7 linked regions of the Callithrix jacchus genome follow. The protein of the gene in region 7 interacts with the protein of the main gene of each other region in a biochemical or structural test. Links are inferred from orthologs where the notes say so. Each region holds a gene or a part of one and is shown on either strand. Other genes may lie near its edges. The genes, in order: PPARG, ETS1, DDX17, SUB1, SMAD4, CITED2 and EP300.

Region 1 (4,068 bases), on a different chromosome or scaffold from region 7:
GACAAATTAGCAAACCCAAGTTTTGCTTTAACTTGGGTTGCCTTAATAAAGATGTTTTGGGGCTTAACGGCACAGTTGCCTAACTCTCTACTTTATTCTGTACTGTTCAGACCTGGCGAGCATTTCACCATCAAGCTCTTGCACCATGATTGACAGGGACACTTTTACTAGTCCTCCTGAAGAATGAATAGTTACTCAACGTAGATTAACCAGATATATATTTATTTTACTCAAGATAAGTATAATTCAGAGAATTATTGCCTTCTAATGTACTAATTGCCATGTGTAGGGGCGTCTTTGAAAATCTGCAATGTCACTGCAATTCTACTAGGCCATTCATGTGACAAGACCTGCTCCCACATCTGTAATTTGGCACAGCTAGTGTTTCTCCTTGCCAAAAAGGGCAAAGGCCTTGAGCAAGAAGCCAGCTTTTTTCCTGATTACAAAACTGACCACAATTCCTCGCCAACCTAATAGCGTATAAGTCTATTTTTTTCTGGTAGTGTGTTCTTCTTACAGAGAACTCCATTTTTTCATTATGACACAGCACTTATCATTTAAACATCAATTGATGTTCAGACATCAACTGATGTAACATTGCTGCAGTTGCAATTGATGGATAAGCTGAAGTTTTTAAGAGAACAAACTGTGACATATAAAATTGAAACCACATCAAACCCTTCTTCATTCTCTCAACTATTTAATTTTACAGAATTTGGATAGCAGTCAGTATCATTTTGGGCTTCACAAACAGTAGAATAAATACCTTAGGAATATAACATTTCAGTAGCATGCTGATACCAATGTTTAAACTATGGATACATATTTGAATTCCAAAGTTTTCTTCAGATAATGTGATTAGAGATTCAACCAGGAATAGACACCAAAAGAAAACTTTGCCCAAATAAGCTTTCTGGTATTTCATAAGCGAGAGATTTAAAGTTTTCCATTTAATAAGCAATTGATGTGAATTTTATGACAATAAAAATGCAAGGCGATATTGAACAGTCTCCGCTCTTATAATTCTAAATACTGTACAGTTCACACCCCTCACAAGACACTCAGCATGTGGGTCACTGGCGAGACAGTGTGGCAATATTATTTTCCCTGTAATGTACCAAGTCTTGCCAAAGCAGTGAACAACATTATGACACAACATTTTGTCAGAGCTGGCTCCTAACAGGACAGTGCCAGCCAATTCAGGCCCAGTCCTTTCTGTGTTTATTCCCATCTCTCCCAAATATTTGGAAACTGATGTCTTAACTGATGGGTGTATTCACAAATTCTGTTACTTCAAGTCTTTTTCTTTCAACGGATTGATCTTTTGCTAGATATAGACAAAATATCAGTGTGAATTACAGCAAACCCCTATTCCATGCTGTTATGGGTGAAACTCTGGGAGATTCTCCAATTGACCCAGAAAGCGATTCCTTCACTGATACACTGTCTGCAAACATATCACAAGGTAAAGTCTCTTCCAGATACGGCTACTGGGGACATGGGGGCATTTATGTAAGGGTAAAATTGCTCTTGTAGTTTGTGTTCCAAGTCATGTTTGTTTTAATATTATCATGTGTACACTCCAGTATTTTAATGCTTAGCTTGCTGCTATGGTGTTCACTTAAAAACATATTCTGAACCTTAAAAAAGAAAACCTAAGCTAATCTGTATTTTATCTCTGTGCATGGCTTCCATTTCCTGAAATTTAAGCATTAAAGATATATCCAAAAAATCTTGTTCATTTTATTTCCTGAGTTTGCATACATTTCCCAAGAAAATGTAGGGCTCTTTAGACTTGAAGGGTCACTTTTTCCTCCTTTCATCTTGTATGTTACAGATCTCTCATAACTGTTTTTATCTCTCTTGCAGCACTTTTATTCTTCTTGAAGTACTCTCAGCTCTTTTCTGTTCTACTTTAAATCTAGATAATTGTGTGTGCACTTTAGCTCTCCCAAAGAATTGTAAGCTCCCAGAGTATGGGGCCAAGTGATGCTCTTCATTAGATTTCTTAGGATACCTCCTAGCATAATGCCTAATGCATTGTAGAAGAATAGCTTGTCGGAACCTTGAAAAATATCTGTTCCAAGCATCACATTTTACACATGAAGAAAATGAGGTCCCTAAATGCCTACTGCATACTAAATAAGTGATTACCTATTACTTCTCTTCAGATATGTCAGAATCAGATACCTTCTTTTCAATATTTCTTTCCTGGCCATTGCAAAATGTAATTTCTATGGCTTCTTCTATTGGAGTTTCTTAGCACCACCTCTACTGTTTGGTATTGTCTCATATCGATGTCTATATTTCTATTCATTTTCTTTTTCTCTTCTCGGAGATTCTGTGTAAAAATAGATTGTTAACTGGTGTGATTCATGTTTTATAATATAACTGCTAAAGCATTAAAATTAAATCACTTAATTGCTGAAATTGATGACTTTACATTTTAACCTTTTAATTTTCCTGGAAGCCTTAAGTTTGGACATATTAATCATAGTTTTTAAAATATCAAGCTTATTAAAAACTAGTAAAAATTGTTTCCTGAAATACTGTTTTATTACAGTCATTTGATTCAACATATATTTATATCATCTAAGCCTCTTAAATAGGAGTTTTGTTTTATTCCATAAAATGCTGTTATTCTGTTTTTCTGCAAGCCATAAAAATTGTTGCTATCTTTCTTCAGTTATTAATTTAGCCTGCCTCAGGGCAAAATGTCCTGGCTATACTATGAAATAGTTCTTGAGTCAAAATTTGATAGTTTTGTCTATTTGAAAAGAACATGTCTAGAATGCAGTACAACAAATATCAACAAATAGGTTAACTGAGAGGCAAGTACTATTTGTGGTGAGGATGGTTGTGTGATTCAAGTTAGTTTTCATTCTCTGCTAATCTCTATTTTTATGCTTTGAATTTACCCTGAGTTTAATTTTTTTTGAGTCTCAATTACCTCTAAAAGAATGATGTAGTACTTTTCTTCCTAATTAACATAATACAGAATAGAATTATTAGCAATTAAAACATTATATTTTATACTAATAATTTAACCCTTGTCTTATAGGGTCTCTGGCTACTTTGTCTTCATAAGCACTGCTTCTCTATTAAAAATGTGAGCTCCTAATGGCCAAAGATCTATGATTGTTACTCCTATTACATTTTATAAATGACCCTTAAGTAATTACTCCATCCCTTCCAAATCAGACAAAAATAAATTGGATATCTGATCATCATTAGCCAAGGCCAGCGGAGTTGGAACACTGTGAAGATGAGGCATTTCACCTGGGTACCGTAGTCCACTTAGTTGCTCCTTCTTCCTCATCATAGACAAAGTGAAATTGGGGTTTGTTGCAAATGGCTGAGTACTGCTACTGAAGAAAAAGTGGCACATTTAGTGTGAATGACTCAGATGTCCAGGTAGATTGAGTATATTCATGAGGTTAAAATCTCAACTACACTTAGCCACTATGCCCAAAGAAGACTTACATACTTTTTCCAAGGCTCCATCATTGCTGTGACCCCTTTATATTGTTCCCTTTTCTTTTTTTATCAAGAGCTCCTCAAGCAACCCCAAATAACCTCATGCTGGCTTTGAAACCATTTCCACTAGTAGAAATTGGCAGGATCGAAGGGAAGCTTCCACAAGCTCAAGCTGAATATGCCTTCTGCTTTTAGTGCCAGACCTAGTCCTGTGTGAATTCTACAATTTTAAGTTGTTGCACCAGAGCCTTGAAGGATGATGACACACTTGTCCTTTGGAGCTGATTGAGCAATGGAAATATGCCTTAGAGACATGATAAATGCTGCAATAGATAGTCCTTCAAAACGAGTCTCTCCTGAGATAGGAGTGAGTGATTGATTGCACACCACTTTTATCAAGTGATACTTAATCTGTGGTTACATAGCTCCAGGCAACCATAGACTCAGAAACATTTAGATAACTGACCAAAGTTTTTACCTTTTCAGAAGTTTAAAGGGATCTTTGTAGTACCAGGGAACATAAGGATGAATCCTGTCTTGGCCACATATTTGCTGTGTGAATTTGAGCACCTCATTTTACTTCTCTGGCCT
Region 2 (3,500 bases), on a different chromosome or scaffold from region 7:
GAAATCTCAGGTATTATTTCAGCTGCAGTTTTGCATGTCTGCAAACACACACACACACACACACACACACCACTCACACACATGCACACATTCACACACACCTTTTGCCAGTGCCCAACAAAATCACGTAATCTAAGAGAAAACAATGTAGTCCAAACAGTTCCACCCAATACTCCCTGAGCAGCTCCTAAAATATTTTGAGAGCTTCATTAAGGCACCTGCATCCAAAAGATCAAAATACACAGCTGGGATAATTCTGCCTTTGCTTTCCATGCAGACGCTCCAATTCATCAGTATGGGGACACTCATGAATCACAGAACTATATGTTCCTGATAATTCTGGGTCTTCAAAAGGATCTGGGAGTAAACAACAATGAACTTTCTTGAAGATATACTAGAAAGTAGTTAGTACTTCCTATTTCTCATCCAAATCCCAAAAAGGGCCTGCCCTGAGAAGCACATCTAAAATGTTTCTTCCCTTCTCTCATGGAAGTCCATAAAGCCGCCCCTCTTCCTCATCCTTTCAACTGGGCAACTACAGAGTGAGGAGATTCTAATTGTGTTAGGCACTTTTCCTCACTAGTTAGATGTTGATTTTCCCCCTGAAACTCCATTTTCAGATCCACCCTCACAACCAGAAGAAAGATGACTACCTTGCTTGACTATGTTTGTATTTAAACTTTGGGGGAACTAAGAAATCTATTCAAATCTCATGGACAACCTTATTTTCTTCCCTGAACTTCCTTCCTTTGCTTCCTTTGCCTTCAAAGTCATTCCTCTCTTCTGGAATTAACCTTCACTTACCCTGTGCCAAGACATCAGCCCCAAGCATGAGGCCCTAGCACCACCTGTACCATTCACTTTGCATACACTGTCTCACCTGACATCCCACCACACTAATTTAAATTCTTCAAAGGAAAGCCTTGCACTTCTCTTCCAAAGACAGCCAAATCACATTTTATTGAAATGTTCTCTTAATTCCCATCGCTTCTAAAACTCAGCAGGTCTAAAGTCTTCAACTTATGTCATGTCTCCAGTTACCCTTTCACTCATCAATCAGAAAGCCGTACATTTCTCTCTACTGAATAACAGAGTGGGGGTGGGGTAGGGGGTGCAAAAAATGGGAGGATTCTTGGAAAATAAGACATGAAAGAAAAATTACAGAGTGTTAATTTAGAACAACATGCATTCAGGACTTACTTCTTAAGACCTGAAGGGTAATGCCCATGCATACAGCTTTTATTCCAAGTCATCTATGCTACAGGTATAGGACTAAGAAAGAACCAAGTCGATCTTCCTCCTTCGATTTCCTTTCCATGACTTCAACAGTGCTCCTACGTTTACTGTGGTCCAAAACCAGGGATGCAAAATACATTCAGTTCAATGACTTAATGCTTCTTAACTCAACATTAAGTCCAAACCCCGAGAATCCACTAATATCAAATAAGTAAAGGGATGTGACAATACTTTTTTAATTGTAGATGACATTCACACACATCATTCCCCTGTACTCAAATCAGCATGAATTGTCCTTCTTTTATAAATCCCATGAATTTGGGGTCCCTGATCTCAGTGAGAGCGTTTTGCTTTTCCAGTGGGGTCTATATAAACAGTTTTCTTTCACTGTGACAGAATCCTCAGCCGGCAAATAAAAACAAACTTACATGATATTGCAATACTGAGACCACCTTAGAGCTTAAGACGATTTTTAAGAAAAAAAATACTGGCACAAAATTTAATACAATAAATTTGAACACAACAATGGTTTTGGCCCCTCCCCACCGAAGTCCATCTTTGTTTCAAAACTAGAGTGAAAGGTAAATAGTTCTCAGTTTTGAGTACATCCCACCCCAAAACATGTTTCATCCCACCCACCTCTTTTTTGCCCTCCCAAATCTAAAAACAAAAGCAAATTAATTGCCTTCCATCAGTTTCATGAGTTCTGATGTGACAACGTCTCTTGCTAATGGGTCCACAACTGAAGACACTTTTTCATGGTTGACTTTTAAACATGATTGGACACATTAGTCTCTTCCTCTCTTAAGTCAGAGCCTTCAAGCTTCTTCTCAGAAGACCCTTCTTCCTCTCCCGAAAATTTGCTCAACAATTTCTGGTCCTACCCACCCCACAAGTCCTGGCTTTCCTTTTCCAACTGCGCACAATTGATTACAGCTGCAACTGACTTAGCTCCCACCCCTGAAGGTAAAAAATGAGTTCTAGAAAATAAAAAATAGAATAACAATTAAAAATTCAAGAGTCCAACCAACATGGCTGTCCTGGGAAGGTCTCAGCAGGGTTCCCCCAGCCCCTTCAGTGCCATCACTCATCGGCATCTGGCTTGACATCCAGCATGGCGTGCAGCTCCTCAGGGGTGTATCCCAGCAGGCTCTGCAGGTCACACACAAAGCGGTACACGTAGCGTTTCCCTGCTGTCTTGTGGATGATGTTTTTGTCGTAATAGTAGCGTAGGCCACGGCTCAGTTTCTCATAATTCATCTTAGGTTTGTTTTTCCTCTTTCCCCATCTCCTGGCCACCTGAAATTTAAAAAGAAAGATTAAGGAGGAATAGGTAACAATCTACAAGATTGGCCAAATATATATGTTTGTATGCCTATGCTCTATAACCATGATACTCAAGTAAGACAATTTGAGATTCATGCAGATATAGAAAATATGCTTCTAGTTTATCTCTTCTGAATTCCATTTTTCATGGATGGATCGGGCAGCGATGGGAGTCACAATGATTCTTTCAGTTGATGAAAACACAATGACCCTAAACTTCTGTGGAATAGGATTAAATATTTGACTTAAAACAAACAAAAAGAAAAGCCACACTATACACTCTCCTCTTTCCCCACATTATTAGTAAAATCTCCTTGCTTTGCAAACATGAAATCTAACAGGTGGGTGTGAAGGGGAGGGGCTGAGCTGCAATCACACCTGCCTTTCATCAACAGGAAGTGTTTCTTTTTCCCATACCAGGACATAAATATTTTCTCCTGTCTGCCAGAACAAAGATATTGTCTCTCTTGTTCATTTTTTTTAACCCTCATAATTGGGCGTGGCACAGAATCACTGCTCCACAAGCACGTGTGTAATGAAAGGAGAAACTAATGAGCCCATCTCCCAAGGCCTCTTGAACTGTCTGGCCCCTTCCACACTCACAGAACCACGGAGCTAGGAAGAGGCTGAGTCACTAAGGCAGCTCTGTGGGTGACGGCTGACCTGCTGCCAGGCACAGTAATGCCTCCTATCACTTAATCCTGTAAGACAAATGGGTAACATAGATATTTTCTCTATTTTCCAAATAACGAAACTGGGGCTCAGACAGGCTGCCTAGCTTGCTCCAGGAGCGGCAAGTGGAAGAGCTGGGATCCCAATCCTGGAAAATGTCATTCAGATCCACACAACCCCTTGTAGGGGTTTTCTCTCATCCTTCCTCAGCACAGAACTCACAAGCCCCTCCTTCCTTACCTCATCTGGGTCAGAAAGTTTGAATT
Region 3 (3,500 bases), about 17 Mb from region 7:
TCTGAAAGAGTAACCATTTCATTTGTAAAGTCCAAAACAATGATAATGAGGCACAACAACAGACAAATTTTGGCTGGGCACAGTGGCTCTACTTAAAAAAAAAAAAAAAAAAAAAAAATAGTGGGGCATGGTGACATGTGCCTGTAATCCCAGCTACTCAGGAGGCTGAGGTGGGAAAATTGCTTAAATTTGGGACGTAGAGGTTGCAGTGAGCCAAGGTCACGCCACAACACTCTACCCTGGGGGACAGAGCAAGACCTCATTTCAAAAAAAAAAAAAAAAAAGACAACACCAATATATTTTTTTCACTGACAGTTGAAAAGACATGACCTAATATATAATAGTTTCAATCAGGTATAATAAATAGATTAGGAAGCATTATCAACAAATAACAAATTAAATGCATATTTAAACTGGCCCCCTTTTATGAGGATTACTGATCTTAGTTAAGAATATAAGAAAAATATCAGCTGGGTGTAGTGGCTCACACCTCTAATTCCAGTACTCTGGGAAGCCAAAGCGGGTAGATTGCTCAAGCTAGGGAGTTTGAAACTAGCCTGGGCAACGTGGCAAAACCCAGTCTCTGGGGGGGAGGGGAAGGGGAGGTGATTAAGAAAAAAAATTTTTTTAAAAATATCACCACACTAGAATAAAATGTAAAACAGCAACATTAGTGTATGAATAAACTCTAACCACTATGTCTACTGGTTCAATAATCTGTACATTAAAACACACACACACAAACTTACTGGAGTCAGCCTTGCTACTTCCGGATGTTCCACATAAAAATTTTTCTCAAACTTGGGGAGCTCGCTCAAATCCCACTTTTTTTTACGCAAACGCTCCCCAGGATTACCAAATTTCTTCGGGGGGAGGCCACCACCACCTCTTGCTCCAAATCTAGGAACATCAGAATTTTTAGTTCATCAGTATTTTTGAAGTAATATATCTTACACACCATAAAAAGATTCAAACAAGATAGACTACTACCAGCCTACCTCCAAAAGACCATGTTATTCACTCCTATTTAAAGGTATGGAGAAGTGTGTAAAACTTCCTTTACTACCCAACAAGAGTAACTGTTTATGAGTATGGCTATAATAGGTGAAAAATAAAAAATTCCTGTATACATACTAAGGATTACAATCACAGATTCTGGAACCAGACATGGTTTGAGTTTTGATTCTGCCACTTACTGTATAATTTAATTATTTAACTTCTACACACCTCAGTTTCCTATGCAAGTTAGAAATAATACCACCTATTTCAGAGGCTGCTGAGAAAAAGATCTAATAATGTGTAATGTGCTATAAAAGTAACTGGCATAACAAGCACTCAGTACAAGCAAGCATCATTCCAGTCAACAAATAGTTATTAGGTACCAACTATGTATCAGTTACTATTTGAAGTGGTGCCGTGCTGGAGTTACTAAAGTAAATAAAACAGAAACAAGTCTCTACTCTTGTGTAACAGAGAGGCAGGCAAAGGATGACATTAGTTTCAGTTTCAGTTAAAGGCAAGATTGTGGACAAGGAAGAAAATACACTCCAAGCATGTCCCTCAGTCTTCTTGGGCCCTTCCCCCTTTAAACTGTGACGAGCACTCCTCGTAGACCGGTCTTCATTTTTAGCTTATTCTAATAAAAGAGCTGAACAAGCCACGTTCAGTGGCTCACAATCCCAGCACTTTGGGAAGCCGAGGCAGACAGATCACTTGAGGTCAGGAGTTCTGATCAGCCTGGCCAACATGGAGAAACCCTGTCTCTACTAAACAGTGGTGGTGCACGCCTGTAATCCCAGTTACTTGGGAGGCTGAGGCCGGAGAACAGCTGGAACCAGGGTGGCAGAGGTTGCAGTAAGCTGAGACCACACCACTGCACTCCAGTCTGGGAGACAGAGGGTGACTCCATCTCCAAAAAAAAAAAAAGCTGAACATACATTTATGACCTCTCCTTCTTCGTCTCTTTTACCTTGTATCTCCTCCTTGTTCCCAAACGGTATTATTAATGGACAGAAAAGCCACTAACAAGACTTATTTAAGGTTTTAAAAGTCAACTAATTACTTGAGATCAACTTCCTGCTTTTTACATACCTTTCACAACAAACAAGCTCAAGGGGAATACAAATATGACCACTAGCCTAAGCTAAAATTTAACAAATCAGAAGCTACTTTTCCTAGAAATATCTTAACATGGCCTTCATCTTCCCTATTTCAATCTTGTGAAGTGCAGGGCTGTGTCTGGCACACGAACTGTACAGCATTTTTTTCACTGACAACTTCTTTACTCATTGTAATATACTGTACTTAATTTAGGTTCCTTTTCCCACTCTAACCCACTTGTACCATCATCTCCCCACCCCAAGACAGAGGCTCACTCCGTCACCCAGGCTGGAGTGCTGTGGCACAATCTCAGCTCACTGCAACCTCCGCCCCCCAGGGTTTAAGCAATTCTCCTGCCTCAGCCTCCAGATTAGCTGGGATTACAGGTGTGCACCACCACGCCCAGCTAGTTTTTGTTTGTTTTCTTTTTTTTAGTAGAGATGGGTTTTTACCATGTTCACCAGGCTGGTCTCAAAAACTCCTGACATCATGATCTGTCCACCTCGGCCTCCCAAAACCAAAGTGCTGGGATTACAGGCATGAGTCACCGTGCCTGGCCATAACATCATCTTATATAAAGTTTCACTTTATAACTGACAGGCAGCAGGTGTATTATTCTATAGGGCCTCAATTTCCTGCAATTCAAAGCATTAGAACTCTGGCTTAACCAGCTATATATTCCTCTAAACACAAATATAACAAAAATTGATGACAGGAAAATTTTATTGGGATCACTGGATACCTACATTCAACAGGTAGAACGTGGCTAATTCTTTATACCACTGCTGAGGCAGTAAGACAAATTAAGAATCAAAACAGGAAGAGCACATAGCATTGGCATACACATGTCAACAACATCTTTAATGTACTCCTCGGCTTAAGGCTCAATAGTGCAATAGTGAACAGACCAAAAGGCCACCTCAATTGCCACCCCCTACACTTGCAAATGAAGCAGCTAAATAAGGCACTTTTCAAGAAGTACCAAGTCCTTGGATTACCACTCTCGCAAATTATAAAATATTCCATTGTTACTGCTGCATTGCAATACCCAAACCTCAATAATCTACGAAAAAATAAAACTTTTGAAAGTGATGTTCCTGGTAACGCTTTAAACTAATCATAACCTCATTACCATTTATGTATTTTTTCCTCTCTCCATATTTCTCTGGCTATTTAAGATATACTACCCTACACTATATATCTAATTTGAAACATGGAGTTCTTGGAAAATATGCTGTCTTCCATGTTTATAATTAATGCTGACATAATTAATGACCTCAAAATTGAAGAAAATCTTTTACTTTTGAGCATATCCATATCTTTAAATATACACATCGTACTCTGGTATAGTATGCTCCTGAAATGTTTTTATCCAGTCAGCAATTAACAGCTTAACTTGA
Region 4 (3,976 bases), on a different chromosome or scaffold from region 7:
GTCAAGTAATTCTAGAAAGGAATGTGTGGGGGATGCTTTCACATTTAGTGTTCAGACTTCAATTCTATCCCATGTATTCTTTGCCTCTCAACCCCATTACATTTCAACCCCAGTTTTAATTTTTCCGGGGAATATATAACTCTCTTCTCCTATAAGAGTGGGAACCATAGGTCTAATTGCTTCACATGTAGAGTCAAACACTCCTCCCATTCTGCAACCCACTGCCCTTCCTCAGCCTCTGTAGCATCTCTGGTGTGCAATTCTGAGCTTTGGCAGGATTCCATCTCTACTTTGCAAAATCCCATACCATTCCTCTACCTGAGGCAGGAGAATAGGATTTAAGAAAATAGGAGGGAGGGAACCTAAGGCTAATTCACACTTCAGCTGTAACAGGAAATACCCTCTCCATAGGGTGTTAACGTTGGTTTCCTCATCTATAAAATGGAGAGAATACTCATTCCTACTTTGGAATGTGCTTGTTAGGATGAGTAAATTGCTTCATGCAGTGTCTGACACGTAGTGGGTTCTTGATAAATCTTTGTTAACAGATATACCTTTGTATTGATTATTAGCTGCAAGAGGCATTCATTCAAATACATATTCAAATAATCTTTTAGCTATATTGCTGCTTGTATATGGATTTCTCTTGTCTTCTGTGAACTCCCTTACATCTCCAGGACCTCAATACAGGAATAAGGCATACTCCAAAGATTTCTTGCACTTCCTAGAATTAAACGCTGTGACTTTAGCTTCCTTCCTTTGGAATTTAGGAGGCAGAGTCATGTACTGAGGTGGGTAAAGTGGGGTAGGAAGATCATATCTGGGAAAATGGACCAGAGTATTGATTTTTTCATTATGACCCCTCCGCTTCATTAAATCATTTATTGAGCAAGTGAAACGCTTGGCGCTTGTCACTCATGTTCTATTTATTTATTTATTTATTTAAGCCATCTCCTACAGGAAGGATATTAGTTCTTTCATTCTTTCACCGGTAAGGTGTAATCTTCCAACATCTGACTTTGCCGTCATCCATTGGGAAAAGAGGCGGTCCCTTTAAGGCCCTGGAAAGGGTCTAAGTGTTGGTTTCAGTGGGGAGGCCACGCCCCATCACGTGAACGCAGGCCCAGCGGGGCGGGGTCTGCGTCTCCTGGCTGCCGTCATTTCCGGTTCTCTGTCAGTCGCGAGCGAGCGAGCAGGAGAGTGTGCGACTGCTAGAGCCGAGCGGAGCGTGAGTGCGCGGAACCCTCTACCCCTACTCCTCGGGGCCCCTATCCAGCCCACCCCACCCTCCCAGCCGGGCAGTGAGCTGCCTTCGGCCCTCTGCTCCCCTAGCCGGCAACAGCCGCGGGAAATGGCGGCTCTGCCTTACCTCCCCCTTCCCCGCCTCGGCGTCTCCAGGCCCCCTCCTCCGTCCCCGACTCCGTGCCTGAAGCTCTGTGGACCCTTCCGCACTATACACCGGTCTCCGGGAGCCGATTCAAGGCGGCAGGCGCTGCGGCCTGAGGCAGCGGATTGAGGCCGTCTCGGGGGCGAGGAGCCGCGGGGAGGGGGTCGCGGCGTCCCCGGGACAATGCGGAGGCGGCTGGCCGAGGTGGGGCGCGTGCGGTACCCGCTCTTCCCCCGGCCCTCGCCCTGAGGGGGCGCTCTGGAGACTGGGAAAGCGGATGCGGGCGGGAGTGGGCGGCGGGAGGAGGCCAGGGGAAGAAGCTCTGATGTGCGGGGAGAGGGAACGCTTCGAGAGAAGAAAATGGCGCTTGGTGCAAGTCCCGCCTCTTCCCACGCCGTCTCCTCCGCACTTCGCCGCCTCCCACGCCCCCTCTGACCAACCTGTCTCCCCTCGCCAGAGCGGCTGCTAGCCACGGGGTGCTAGCGGCTTACTGGGGCCGCACGACCCCTTCCCTGGTCTTGCGCTTGTCATCCTTCTGTTATACCGAAGTTGTGTGCCCTTAAGTCCTGGTTCATTTTCACCTCGTTTTTTTCTCATCTTCCCCTCAGTCAGCAAAGGCTGGAGATTTCGTTTCTCTTTTTAAAGTTGCGTTTTGCATAAATTCTACAATAGTGGTTTCAGTGTCAATTACTTGAATTACAAGCTGCTTCCCCCCCACCCCCCACATTGGAACAGGCTCGTTAAGGTAAAAATGTATTTGAAAGTTTAGAGGCTGGCTTTAGTTACCGTTACTTTTCTTCTCCAGTGGACTTCTTGGGTTGAATACCAGGTGGTTCTTTGAGAAGTTCTTGGGCCCCCAGGCAGTTTTTAATAACAGACGGTAGTTATGTTCCACCATTTCAAAGTGAAAAATAAATTATGTTCAATTTAATTACCTTTTAAAAAAAGATCTTTTTTTATTTGTATTAGCATTAAAAAGTGAACTAAATTGATTTTGGAGATTAGGTTGCAAAATGGAGCAGAAATAGGAAAAATGGATAACACGTGGTCATGAACGTTGCTTTTCCCTTCTGAATTTACTCTTCAAGACATCACCAGTTAAAATCAGCATGTCTGGGTTGGGCATGGTTTGAGCTCTTTGAATTGAGTGGCCAGGATTGGGATGGCCCATTTCTTTTACCTTGACCTGCTATTTAGGAACACATGCAACGTCAGTTCTAATGCAGGTTTCGTCTGGAGAGCTAGATCATTTATGATTTTTTTATTTTCAGGAGGAATTTAAGTTTTTTTTTCTTGTACTCAGCAAATATAGTGTGTACTGTGTTTATTAAACCTTTTAAGGCATACAGAAATTACCCATTTATGCCTAGTGTTCCATTATTGGAACGCTAAGCATGTGGGTGTTATTTATGTCTTGCTGCTCAAGGTCATCGCCAAGGTCTGATTGCAAAAATTCAAAAAATTGCAACCACTGGCATAAGTGGGTTAACAGGACCTAATCTCTTCTGAAAAGGGGAGAGCAAAGTTATTTGATAATTGGCATTTGCGATCTGGTATTATTAGTGCCTTGAAAAGAGGTATCCACATATCTTGGAATTCCTTGAAATTTGGGTCTTAGGCTTACTGATGATAGTTTGCTTTCTACAAACTTGCACTTAGTAAACATCCACTTGTAAGCAAGGCACTTAGCTATGTATATCTCTGGGGGGACCAGGGGAGCTACCAGCAGGGTAGGAATTTGAGAGAAGGTTTTGCCCTTCACAGAAATAGGCTGTTCAAATTTTAATTGTGTTCCAGAGTAGAAAAAAATCAGTGTAAAATGTAATGAATTTCTGTGAATGGCATGTGACCTTGGCTCACTGCAACCTCCACCTCCCGGGTTCAAGTGATTCTCCTGCGTCAGCCTCCTGAGTAGCTGGGACTACAGGCTTGCCACCACTCCTGGCCAATTTTTGTATTTTTAGTAGAGATGGGGTTTTACAGTGTTGACCAGGCTGGTCTGGAACTCCTGAGCTCAAGTGATTCGCCTGCCTTGGCCTCCCAAAGTACTGGAATTGCGGGTGTGACCCATCGTGCCTGGCCTGAATTGTGTATAATTTTGTGTACTTTGAATTAGTACGTGTTATTTTGGTAATACGTCTAAACAGTCAAAATTAACATGTAAAATATGAATAAATATATGGAAAAATTAATTAGATGTCACATTTGCATAGTACAGCTAGTTCCCTGTTGTGTAAATGTTGGGGTCCATTCCCTACAGTGAATAACTTTACATTAGTTCTGATCTCATTGGTGAGAAGTCTAAAGCGGTGATAGTAGAATTACATTTATTTTCTGTTTTTAACAGTAATTGTCTGCTGCCTTCTTGCAGTCTACCCTACCCGTAGTGTGTCCTGCCACTAAAACAAAGTATAGAAAGATCCATTGGCTTGGAGAAAGGTTAGATGTGTAGAGTGTATGACATTTAGTTCATTTTTCTTAATGGGTTCACCCTGCATGTTATTTGCAACTTAGAAGAGTATAGATAAATACTTGTGCTCATAACAACTCCAGTTCCACAAAAATGGTAGAATGAACTATGTAACTTGT
Region 5 (3,500 bases), on a different chromosome or scaffold from region 7:
GGTGTTTTGCTGGCATTTGAAATATGTTTGTGAAGAAGTAAGCCACTAAAATTAGCGAGAAAATGACCTAAAATGGAATAATTTTGAGCTTCATCAAGTTAGGATTTGCCTTTATAGATGACTTCAGGTTTTTTACCTGATAGGCCGTGGGTGAGTTACACTTTTTGCCCATCTTTATAGTTGTGGGCATTATCAGATACAATTGGTCCTTCATTTAGTATATGAAATCATAAGATGACATCTATGAATGTACCGTGTTAATGTCTTCTTGTTCCTCTAGGTCAGCCTGCCAGTATACTGGGGGGCAGCCATAGTGAAGGACTGTTGCAGATAGCATCAGGGCCTCAGCCAGGACAGCAGCAGAATGGATTTACTGGTCAGCCAGCTACTTACCATCATAGTATGTACATGCTTTAAAAAAATCTTTTAAATAGTTGAGAAAAAAGTAGGCAGCCTTTATAAAAGCAAATTAACCCATGTGGGCCTTAATTTTTAGACAGCACTACCACCTGGACTGGAAGTAGGACTGCACCATACACACCTAATTTGCCTCACCACCAAAACGGCCATCTTCAGCACCACCCGCCTATGCCGCCCCATCCCGGACATTACTGTAAGCTCTTGTTTTTGTTGTAAGGGCTTTTTTTTTCTCTTTTTTTTGGTAGGGCTTTGTTTTGTTTTTTCTTTTTTTTTTAAATGGTTTTACATCTTTTATTCATCCTGTGATTTTGTTTCATTAAATAGTGCTTTTCAGTATTTTTTGTGAACAGTATTATTTTTCATAGTTATACCTTTTTATTTTAGAGGAGTAATGTTTGCTGAATGAATTTATTTCTCTGTTGCCAATGTTTCATTAACATCACATTGATTTCCATTCATTTGTTTGTTTGCTTTGTATATGTGTTCTTAGATCTCATGTGTGTCTTGTATATCCACCCATAATGGATTGAAACACTTTGAGCACTAAGTTCTCAAGGTTTCCCTCAGCATAGTATTCAGTGTACTTTGGATAATGTTGAATCTATCAATAACTCTGTGCCAGCATGATTGGGAGGAGTACCATACAGATAGCCTCTAGTTTCAGATAGAATAGGAGCATTGTTCATATGGCTTAGTAAAATCAATCTCATTATAATATTAATAGTACCAAAGAAAACTTAGACAATGTAGAAAAGGGTAAATAAGAAAAGCAAAATTACCCTGAATCCTGCTACTCAAAAATAGCCACTTCTAATACTTTGTCATTTTCCTTCCAGTCATATAAACAGGTATATGTAAATTGACAGAGGGCTCCTACTATATGTGTATTGTATATATCTTGCTTCTTTTCAGTTATGTTACTATTTTTTTTATTTTCTAAGAGAATGTAATTTTTAATGGCTCCCTGGGCCATTATAGTGGTTAAGGGTGTTGGGTTTGGACCTTTAACTGGTTCTGTGACCATTGACAAGTTATTTCACCTCATTAAGCCTCAAGAGTAATATTAGTAGTATCTACCTCAAGGGGTGTTTGTAAGAAGTAAATGTAATAATTTGTGTGAGGTGTTTAGCACAGTGTCTTAACACATAGTAATTATGTTAGCTATAATTTCATTATATAACATCCTTAATTAACATAAGCACTTCTTTTTAGGATAGATCTCACAGTTTATTATACATTGCACTATAAATTATACTGTATTGCACATTACATGAATAATTCATTTATATTCTGTATTAAATACTGGATGTAAAATTATGTATAAATTGTGTAATAGCACGTGGCAGGTAGCACTAAAATATTAGTTATTAAATAGCCACAAAATTATTAATAGTTCAATACGATTTGCTTATTGTAAAGTAATTTAAACTTTTAAGTTCTTAGACGTTGCATAAGCTTGTTTTTAACAACTCTTAACCTATAATAGTTATATTTAAGTAAGATTTACCAAAAGCTTTAGCATTAGACAACTTTTAATAAATAAAAATGGAATTTTTTTGTCTTTTCTTTAGGGCCTGTTCACAATGAGCTTGCATTCCAGCCTCCCATTTCCAATCATCCTGGTAAGTGTATTTAAAAATTGATTCCCTATATTTAGATTGATTTAGTAGTGATTGAAATGCACAAACACAGGTTTTAATTAATTATAGGGTCACTTCTCAGATAAGTACGATACTCATCATGACATGAGTTAATCAAAGAGAGGCTTTAATGTCAATGCATACTGCTATAAATGCATGACCTCAACTAGTTAATGCTATTTTCTAACCACCAGGAGATGTTGGGCCTAAACACCAGTTCTGCTATGAAAAGAATGAATTAAGTCTATTAAGAGGCCAAAGGCAACTGCTGAATCAAAAACAGAGGTCCAAATGACTAGCTAAATGGCTCCACCCCTATCCCCACCTATGATTCTATCTAGGGTAGGTCTCTCTTCAGAGCCGTGACTGCCCTCACTCCTGTAGACTATCTCCGACTAAGCAATACAAACACTGAGATCCCTAAGTTGCCAGGAGCCACTAATGACTCTCAAGGATGCTGCCAGCAAAAAAAGTTCTCATTCTTCAGACTGTAGATTTTCCTTCTTATCACAATATATTCATTCACATGAATCAAGATTCTGATATAGTAATTCCATTTATATAATTAAAAAACAAGTAAAGCCAGATTATTAAACTAGACTGTTAGGAATACATTCATCACTTTAAAGAGCAAAAAATGGCTGGGCACAGTGGCTCACGCCTGGAATCCAGCATTTTGGGAGGCCAAGGGGGCAAGATCACTTGAGGCCAAGAGTTTGAGACCAGCCTGGACAACATGATGAAACCCCATCTCTACTAAAAATACAAAAATTAGCTAGGTGTGGTGGTGGGTGCCTATAATCCCAGCTATTTGGGAGGCTGAGACAGGAGAATCGTTTGAACTTGGAGGTGGAGGTTGCAGTGAGCTGAATTGCACCACTGCACTCTGCTTGGGTGGCAGCGAGAGTCCATCTAAAAAATATATATTGAGATTTAAATTAAAATTTAAAAATAAAACAAGAAAAGTGAATCAATTTAAAGCAGGACAGTGGCTACCTCTGGGGAGAAGGGAAGAGAAGGTCTTGACAGAGATAAAATTCGTGGGGTAGGAGGGTTTCTCGGGTGCTGTAATGTTTTAGTTCTCAATCTGGGTAGTGGTTGCATGAGTATTAGTTTTAGTGAAATTAGACTTTATACTTACTTGTGTTATGTACTTTTCTGTATATTACATTTCTCAAAGTGTTTATGAAAAGGCTAGACCCCTTGACCTACAAAAATGTTTAAAATCGTTTTTACATGTATACAATAAAACACGGAATATCCATTAAAGAAGATAATAATAAATATATATTGTTAAAAGAATGCTTCTGCCCCACTAGCCTCACTTTTTTCCTAACTAGAACAAATATTTGCCTCTTAAATCAGCAAAAAGTTTGTTAAACTATCACATCTACTGCTAGTGAGCATAGTAAAACTAGTTTTCATACTCTGATGCCAATG
Region 6 (4,079 bases), on a different chromosome or scaffold from region 7:
TTGCAAATCAATGAACCAAACGGGAGACCAGTCTCCGTGTGCCGCGTTCTGGAAGCAAGGTTATTATTATCGCCTATTGCCCCACTGAACAGTTTCACTGAAAAGGAAGAGTCCCAGCCGTGTGTGTGCGCGCGGTGCCATACGGGACTTGCAGCTACGTGCCCACCTCCAGAACGACTTTATTTACAAAGTGATTACCATGTTATCTATTTGTTTTCCTTTTCCAGCAACAGCAGCCTTACTCAGCCCTCGAATTTCTTAATTACAAACCCGTTTGCTTCTAAATCAACCCCAAACCGTCAAGCAGAGCCCAGAGGGAAGCTGTGCAAGTTTGCACACACCCCCACCTCCCGGATCCAGGGCAACAGCAGAAGCAAGTAACTGTGTATGTGCAAAAAGGTGGATCTGGGGACGAGGATCGCTGAGTTTGTTTACAGAGCAGAGACGCCTCAGCTCGGATGCCAAAGCTACCAAAGCAGCAAACGCAAACTTAGCAGAAGCACACGTACCCCGGGAGCGGCGGGCGGGCCCAAAAGCGCGGGCTGGAGTTCCAGGGTGCGGGATCTGGGGTGGCCGGGCCCGCGAGCGCGCTCGGTCCACCTGCAGCCGCAGCCGCTGCCGCTCCCCGCCCCCAGCTCCTGTCCTTGAAAGGAGTGGAGGAAAAAAAGGCATCTACATGCAGTGATCTAGAGTAGGTCTACCCACTGCCCTTATGAAAACACAAAGGCACAGTCCAGGAAAGCGCGCTCAAGAAAGGGCGCATTATTTGTCCGGGTCTTTAAAACCCAACTACGAGGACGCACAGCCATTCTTCGCAGCCTGGGAAAGCTTTGGCAAAGCCGGCGAGGCAGAAGGGCACTCCGGAGGGCGGGGGCGCTGGGCGAGTCCCCTTTTCCCGTAGAGGGCCAGACAGATCGCTAGGTGAGCGGAGTGGGAGAGCTGGGGGTGGGGAGATCCGGCCAGAGGCGGGCGGTGAGCTCTCCTCGTTCCACTCCGGGCAGGCGCTACCTTCGGGCGGGGCGGCCGGGGAGGATTTCCCCGCTGCCCCGGGGGTGGCTGAGCCGACCTCGCGTTTCTGGGCCGGGAAGAAACCAGAGCCAGGGGGCGACGGGCCCGCAGGCTCTGCGCACGTGCCGCGGGCAGCGGGGCCGCGGCCACCGGACCCGGTCCAGGTGTCCGTGTTGTTCCGGAATCCGCGTCTTCGCGCCGCCCGCCCTGGAGGTTCTCGCTCCGCCCTTCAAGAAATGCTATATTAACTGTGGCCAAAGCCCTAAGAAACACAGCTCATTGTTGGCAGCTGCCGGGCGCTCCTACCGAGCTGTGAGAGCAGCGGAGGGGAAATAAAAGGGAACGGCTCCGAATCTGCCCCAGCAGCCGCTGCGAGACCTCGGCGCCGACATCGCGACAGCGAAGCGCCCTGCACGCCAGGAAGGCCCCCTCTATGTGCTGCTGAGCCGGTCCTGGACCCGACGATCCCGCCCTCTGTCTTCGGAGCAGAAATCGCAAAAACGGAAGGTAAGCGCGACGGGCGAAGCTGGCTGGGGCTCCTGCCAGCCCAGTCCTCCGAGGGCAGGGTTTGCCCGGAGGAAGAGCGTGAGGCGAAGCTGGGGAATAACAACAGGATGTGCAACAACAGGATGAGGAGGGCTGATTCAATGCCTGAAGTTCGCGGCAGGGCTACGGGGCACTTCCTTTATTAGGCCACTTCGGGGAGCAGAGGGGGGTGTGGGCTAGGGTCCTCCCGCCCGATCTCAGGGGAAGGGGCTGTTTGTGTAGTGCCCGGCTGTGTTTCGAGTGGCAGGTCCTCCTTGGTGGCGAGCCCGGGTGCACAGGCTGCTAGTGGGATTTGGGGGTGTTGGTTCGCAGCCGACGTGCGCCCGGGAATCAGAGGCGGGCAACAGTGGGGTGCGCTGTGGTGGGCGACACGTGTGGCGCGGGTCTCATCGTCTGCCCTTTTCACTTCCAGGACTGGAAATGGCAGACCATATGATGGCCATGAACCACGGGCGCTTCCCCGACGGCACCAATGGGCTGCACCACCACCCTGCCCACCGCATGGGCATGGGGCAGTTCCCAAGCCCCCATCACCACCAGCAGCAGCAGCCCCAGCACGCCTTCAACGCCCTGATGGGCGAACACATACACTACGGCGCGGGCAACATGAATGCCACGAGCGGCATCAGGCACGCCATGGGACCGGGGACTGTGAACGGAGGGCACCCCCCGAGCGCACTGGCCCCCGCGGCCAGGTTTAACAACTCCCAGTTCATGGCCCCCCCGGTGGCCAGCCAGGGAGGCTCCCTGCCGGCCAGCATGCAGCTGCAGAAGCTCAACAACCAGTATTTCAACCATCACCCCTACCCCCACAACCACTACATGCCGGATTTGCACCCTGCTGCAGGCCACCAGATGAACGGGACAAACCAGCACTTCCGAGATTGCAACCCCAAGCACAGCGGCGGCAGCAGCACCCCCGGCGGCTCCGGCGGCAGCAGCACCCCCGGCGGCTCGGGCGGCAGCGCGGGCGGCGGCGCGGGCAGCAGCAACAGCGGCGGCGGCAGCGGCGGCAGCGGCAGCAGCAACATGCCCGCCTCCGTGGCCCACGTCCCTGCTGCAATGCTGCCGCCCAATGTCATAGACACTGATTTCATCGACGAGGAAGTTCTTATGTCCTTGGTGATAGAAATGGGTTTGGACCGCATCAAGGAGCTGCCCGAACTCTGGCTGGGGCAAAACGAGTTTGATTTTATGACGGACTTCGTGTGCAAACAGCAGCCCAGCAGAGTGAGCTGTTGACTCGATCGAAACCCCGGCGAAAGAAATCAAACCCCCAACTTCTTCGGTGTGAATTAAAAGAAACATTCCCTTAGACACAGTATCTCACTTTTCAGATCTTGAAAGGTTTGAGAACTTGGAAACAAAGTAAACTATAAACTTGTACAAATTGGTTTAAAAAAAAATTGCTGCCACTTTTTTTCCCTGTTTTTGTTTCGTTTTTGCAGCCTTGACATTCACCTCCCTTATGTAGTTGAAATATCTAGCTAACTTGGTCTTTTTCGTTGTTTGTTTTTACTCCTTTCCCTCACTTTCTTCAGTGCTCAACTGTTAGATATTAATCTTGGCAAACTTCTTAATCTTGTGGATTTTGTAGATGGTTTCAAATGACTGAACTGCATTCAGATTTACGAGTGAAAGGAAAAATTGCATTAGTTGGTTGCATGAACTTTGAAGGGCAGATATTACTGCACAAACTCTGCCATCTCGCTTCATTTTTTTAACTATGCATTTGAGTACAGACTAATTTTTAAAATATGCTAAACTGGAAGATTAAACAGATGTGGGCCAAACTGTTCTGGATCAGGAAAAGTCATACTGTTCACTTTCAAGTTGGCTGTCTCTCCCTCCCCCCCCATATGTACAGATGATAATAGGGTGTGGAATGTCGTCAGTGGCAAACATTTCACAGATTTTTATTTTGTTTCTGTCTTCAACATTTTTGACACTGTGCTAATAGTTATATTCAGTACATGAAAAGATACTACTGTGTTGAAAGCTTTTTAGGAAATTTTGACAGTATTTTTGTACAAAACATTTTTTTGAAAAAATACTTGTTAATTTATTCTATTTTAATTTGCCAATGTCAATAAAAAGTTAAGAAATAACTCGTTTTCTAGAAGTCATTTGGGGGGTGGTGGTTCTCTTTGGTGGCTTTTTCCCCCCCCCCAAGTTGAACACTTTATTGATGAGAGTAAGCATTCCAAAGGATAAATTACAGGACACTAAAACAGGTCATGATGAGCTTAAGCGGAGAGCAGGATTTAACATAATTGGCATAATGCTTCATTGTTATCATTGTAACATGCCTCTTGGTGTGCTTTAATCAAAAGCTGCAAAGTTGTCATAGTGCTTTTTTTTTTCTTAATTGCCATCATATTCAAGTGTACTCCAGAGTTAGAAAGGTTTGCAATACTCAACATTATCTTTTTCAATGGGCAGGAGGGAAAAATGAAGTGTTTCTGTTTATACCTGATTGAACTACTTAAATGGAGGTAGATTAGAATAATATACTGATGGATGGG
Region 7 (3,500 bases):
TTAATCAACTCTACAGAGTTGGGACTAACCAATGGTGGTGATATTAATCAGCTTCAGACAAGTCTTGGCATAGTACAAGATGCAGCTTCTAAACATAAACAGCTATCAGAATTGCTGCGATCTGGTAGTTCGCCTAACCTCAATATGGGAGTTGGTGGCCCAGGTCAAGTCATGGCCAGCCAGGCCCAACAGAACAGTCCTGGATTAGGTTTGATAAATAGCATGGTCAAAAGCCCAATGACACAGGCAGGCTTGACTTCTCCCAACATGGGAATGGGCACTAGTGGACCAAATCAGGGTCCTACGCAGTCAACAGGTATGATGAACAGTCCAGTAAATCAGCCTGCCATGGGAATGAACACAGGGATGAATGCTGGCATGAATCCTGGAATGTTGGCTGCAGGCAATGGACAAGGGATAATGCCTAATCAAGTCATGAACGGTTCAATTGGAGCAGGCCGAGGGCGACAGAGTATGCAGTACCCAAACCCAAGCATGGGAAGTGCTGGCAACTTACTGACTGAGCCTCTTCAGCAGGGCTCTCCCCAGATGGGAGGACAAACAGGATTGAGAGGCCCGCAGCCTCTTAAGGTAAGCACAGTTTTGATTTGTGTGCACATTTGGCACACATGAGTATTCCCATGATGGAGGGAGGGTTTGCCTTACATAGTGAAGCAGTTTCCACATATTACATGCCAGGAATTTACTGTGCTATCTTAAGTTTTAAGAAGTGCATACATTAAATTTAAGTAAAACATGTATTTTACAACTGATGTTGTATAACTTCATATTTCCAAGTGATCGCTGGCTAATGCCGTTTCTCTCTGGCACAAGCATTGGAATGTTTTTAATCTCATTTCCAAGTCCAGTTTAGCCTTGTAGTAGCATCATTATAAAAATACAGTTTGGAGGTCAGGCACGGTGGCTCATGCCTGTAATCCCAGCACTTGGAGAGGCCGAGGTGGGTGGATCATGAGGTCAGGAGTTTAAGACCAGCCTGGCCAATATGGTAAATCCCCATCTCTACTAAAAATACAAAAATTAGCCTGGTGTGGTGGTGCATGCCTGTAGTCCCAGCTACTTGAGAGGCTGAGGCAGGAGAATCACTTGAACCCATGAGGCGGAGGTTGCAGTGAGCCGAGATCATGCCACTTACTCCAGCCTAGGTGACAGAGTGAGACTCTGTCTCAAAAAAAAAAAAAACCAGTTTGGAGATAGCTGGCATTACACTGTCTTCAGATGGAGACTTCATTTGTTCCTATTGCTTTGAATGTCCCTGGTTATCAGGAGATATGTTTATTCTGAGAAATGTATTACTGTTTTTTTTCTTTATTGATGGAAATTAAGGTACATTTGTTTATGTGAAACCTCAATAGTCTGGATGTTTCAATGAAACCAGATCTTGGCCAGAGACTTCTGTTAGCTTTATTAACTAGAGAATGCTAAGTATATTATTTAAAATATTTTAAACTGGCCAGGCGTGGTGACTCTCACCTGTAATCCCAGCAGTTTGGGAGGTTGAGGCAGGCGGATCATGAAGTCAGGAGATCGAGACCATCCTGACCAACATGTTGAAACCCTGTCTCTGATAAAAACATAAAAATTAGCTGAGCATGGTGTTTGAGCCTGTAGTCCCAGCTACTCAGGAGGCTGAGGCAGGAGAATCACTTGAACCCGAGAGGAGATTGCAGTAAGCTAAGATCATGCTGTTGCACTCCAGCCTGGGCAACAGAGTGAGATTCTCTCAAAGACACTTTTAAATGTGTACCCTATGTAGACAAATAAGACATAATTACACGTACTTTAGTGTTTATTCCTCCTTTTTTTTTTTTTTCCCCCGTATTTCATCTTTTTTTTTTTTTTTTTAAATTGAATCACACTGTGGTTGCCAGTGCTTGGCATGTAGTTACTTTTTGTTGAATTAGAGATGGCTTCACTTGGAAGATGGAATTGGAGATAGATATGATTTTCACAAGGAGTCAAGAGAAAACTTTCTCTGTAAGAGGAATAATTTGAGCAGACATTAGGACTTAAGCGTTCCCGAGAATCTTGGGTGCAGTGGCTCATGTCTATAATCCCAGCACTTTGGGAGGCCGAGGCAGGAGGATCACTTGAGCACAAGAGTTAGGGAGCAACCAGGCAACTTTGACCCCATCTCTATTTAAAGAAAAGAGAGAACCTTGACGGTGACAGAATGCAAGTGTGAATTGAAGACAAATTGACAAACTTGTGTTGAGGGGACTGAGGTCACATGTAGGAATTCAAAAGCCTTAAATGTTTTTTTGCTACAAGAATATTGACAAGTTAGGATTAGGTTTTAGCATTAGTGCTTTGTAGAGTCTCCCTTTCTGTCCCCCACCCCCACCACTTTTTTTGTTTTTTTTTAAGACAGATCTTGCTTAGTCACCCACGCTGGAGTGCACTAGCCTAATCATGGCTCACTGCAGCCTCAACCTGCCAGGCTTAAAAATCCTCTCGCCTAAGCCTCCTGAGTAGCTGGAATTGAAGGCATGCACCATCATGCCTGGCTGATTTTTTATTTTTTGTGGGGACGGAGTCTCACTATGTTGCTCAGGCTAATCTCAGGCTCCTCCTGGACTCAAGTGATCCTCTTGACTCGGCCTCCCAAAGTGCTGGGATTACAGGTATGAGCCACTGTACCCAGCCTCTTGACACTTTTAGATTGTTGTGTCAATGTGGTTTACTTACAATATTTGGAATGAGAACCAGAAACAACAAGGTAAATTATTAAGTACCTTTTAAAAGATCTAGAAACCTAGCTATAAAGAGATAAAATCCTTGCCACCAAGGTTTATATTTTGCTATGGAGAGGAGGGATGACAGACAACCCTCATTGGTTGACAGAATACTGTAGTGTATGAATTTACTTCATGTAACCTACTTTCTACTATGCACATAAGATATAAATTTAGAGTATGCCCGGTAAATGCTATGGAGAAAAATTAAGGCTCATTGACAACTGCTTGGGAATGTGGCACTATTCTGGTTATAATCTAAATTTCTTTTAGAAACTGGGTTTATATAGAAGTGAACAAAACAAAAATCCCTATGCTTGTGGAGCTTTTATTTTGATGTGAAGGAGCAATTCAAATTTTAAACTTTCATTAAATGATATTTTATTTCCTCATTTTTATTTTTATCTTGAGACAGAGTCTTGCTCTGTTGCCTATGCTAGAGTGCAGTGAGACAGTCTTGCTCTGTTGCCTATGCTAGAGTGCAGTGGCATGATCTTACCTCACTGTAACCTCTGCCTCCTGGGTTCAGGTGATTCTCCTGCCTCACCCACCCAAATAACTGGGACCACAGGTATGTGCCACCATTCGTGGGTAATTTTTGTTTTTAGTAGAGTAGGGATTTCACCATGTTGCCCAGGCTGGTTGTAAACTCCTGACCTCAAGTGATCTGCCCACCTTAGCCTCTCAAGTGCTGGGACTGTAGGTGTAAGCTACCATGCCTGGGCTTATTTCCTTTTTCTTTAC

What was found.
Region 1: the proteins of EP300 (region 7) and PPARG form a complex in vitro, tested with the Homo sapiens proteins (6 studies listed by BioGRID, with this or other methods). The link is inferred for Callithrix jacchus from reciprocal best matches to the Homo sapiens genes EP300 and PPARG.
Region 2: the proteins of EP300 (region 7) and ETS1 form a complex in vitro, tested with the Homo sapiens proteins (2 studies listed by BioGRID, with this or other methods). The link is inferred for Callithrix jacchus from reciprocal best matches to the Homo sapiens genes EP300 and ETS1.
Region 3: the proteins of EP300 (region 7) and DDX17 form a complex in vitro, tested with the Homo sapiens proteins (2 studies listed by BioGRID, with this or other methods). The link is inferred for Callithrix jacchus from reciprocal best matches to the Homo sapiens genes EP300 and DDX17.
Region 4: of the proteins of EP300 (region 7) and SUB1, one has a biochemical effect on the other in vitro, tested with the Homo sapiens proteins (2 studies listed by BioGRID). The link is inferred for Callithrix jacchus from reciprocal best matches to the Homo sapiens genes EP300 and SUB1.
Region 5: the proteins of EP300 (region 7) and SMAD4 form a complex in vitro, tested with the Homo sapiens proteins (2 studies listed by BioGRID, with this or other methods). The link is inferred for Callithrix jacchus from reciprocal best matches to the Homo sapiens genes EP300 and SMAD4.
Region 6: the proteins of EP300 (region 7) and CITED2 form a complex in vitro, tested with the Homo sapiens proteins (5 studies listed by BioGRID). The link is inferred for Callithrix jacchus from reciprocal best matches to the Homo sapiens genes EP300 and CITED2.

What each region holds. Positions count from the first base shown.
Region 1 is NC_133516.1:69,515,757-69,519,824, forward strand, and holds the start of PPARG (peroxisome proliferator-activated receptor gamma), read left to right. Parts: upstream 1-1,268; 5' UTR 1,269-1,383; coding exon 1,384-1,465; intron 1,466-4,068. UniProt on the Homo sapiens protein: Nuclear receptor that binds peroxisome proliferators such as hypolipidemic drugs and fatty acids.
Region 2 is NC_133511.1:28,155,287-28,158,786, forward strand, and holds part of ETS1 (protein C-ets-1), read right to left. Parts: coding exon 3,475-3,500; intron 2,536-3,474; coding exon 2,320-2,535; 3' UTR 1-2,319. UniProt on the Homo sapiens protein: Transcription factor. Directly controls the expression of cytokine and chemokine genes in a wide variety of different cellular contexts. May control the differentiation, survival and proliferation of lymphoid cells.
Region 3 is NC_133502.1:209,415,800-209,419,299, forward strand, and holds part of DDX17 (putative ATP-dependent RNA helicase DDX17), read right to left. Parts: intron 901-3,500; coding exon 750-900; intron 1-749. UniProt on the Homo sapiens protein: As an RNA helicase, unwinds RNA and alters RNA structures through ATP binding and hydrolysis.
Region 4 is NC_133503.1:172,693,335-172,697,310, reverse strand, and holds the start of SUB1 (activated RNA polymerase II transcriptional coactivator p15), read left to right. Parts: upstream 1-1,176; 5' UTR 1,177-1,591; intron 1,592-3,976.
Region 5 is NC_133514.1:94,286,049-94,289,548, forward strand, and holds part of SMAD4 (mothers against decapentaplegic homolog 4), read left to right. Parts: intron 1-280; coding exon 281-400; intron 401-496; coding exon 497-613; intron 614-1,991; coding exon 1,992-2,042; intron 2,043-3,500. UniProt on the Homo sapiens protein: In muscle physiology, plays a central role in the balance between atrophy and hypertrophy. When recruited by MSTN, promotes atrophy response via phosphorylated SMAD2/4.
Region 6 is NC_133505.1:146,159,913-146,163,991, reverse strand, and holds CITED2 (cbp/p300-interacting transactivator 2), read left to right. Parts: upstream 1-1,279; 5' UTR 1,280-1,515; intron 1,516-1,966; 5' UTR 1,967-1,974; coding exon 1,975-2,796; 3' UTR 2,797-3,659; downstream 3,660-4,079. UniProt on the Homo sapiens protein: Transcriptional coactivator of the p300/CBP-mediated transcription complex. Acts as a bridge, linking TFAP2 transcription factors and the p300/CBP transcriptional coactivator complex in order to stimulate TFAP2-mediated transcriptional activation.
Region 7 is NC_133502.1:191,923,654-191,927,153, forward strand, and holds part of EP300 (histone acetyltransferase p300), read left to right. Parts: coding exon 1-591; intron 592-3,500. UniProt on the Homo sapiens protein: Functions as a histone acetyltransferase and regulates transcription via chromatin remodeling. Acetylates all four core histones in nucleosomes. Histone acetylation gives an epigenetic tag for transcriptional activation.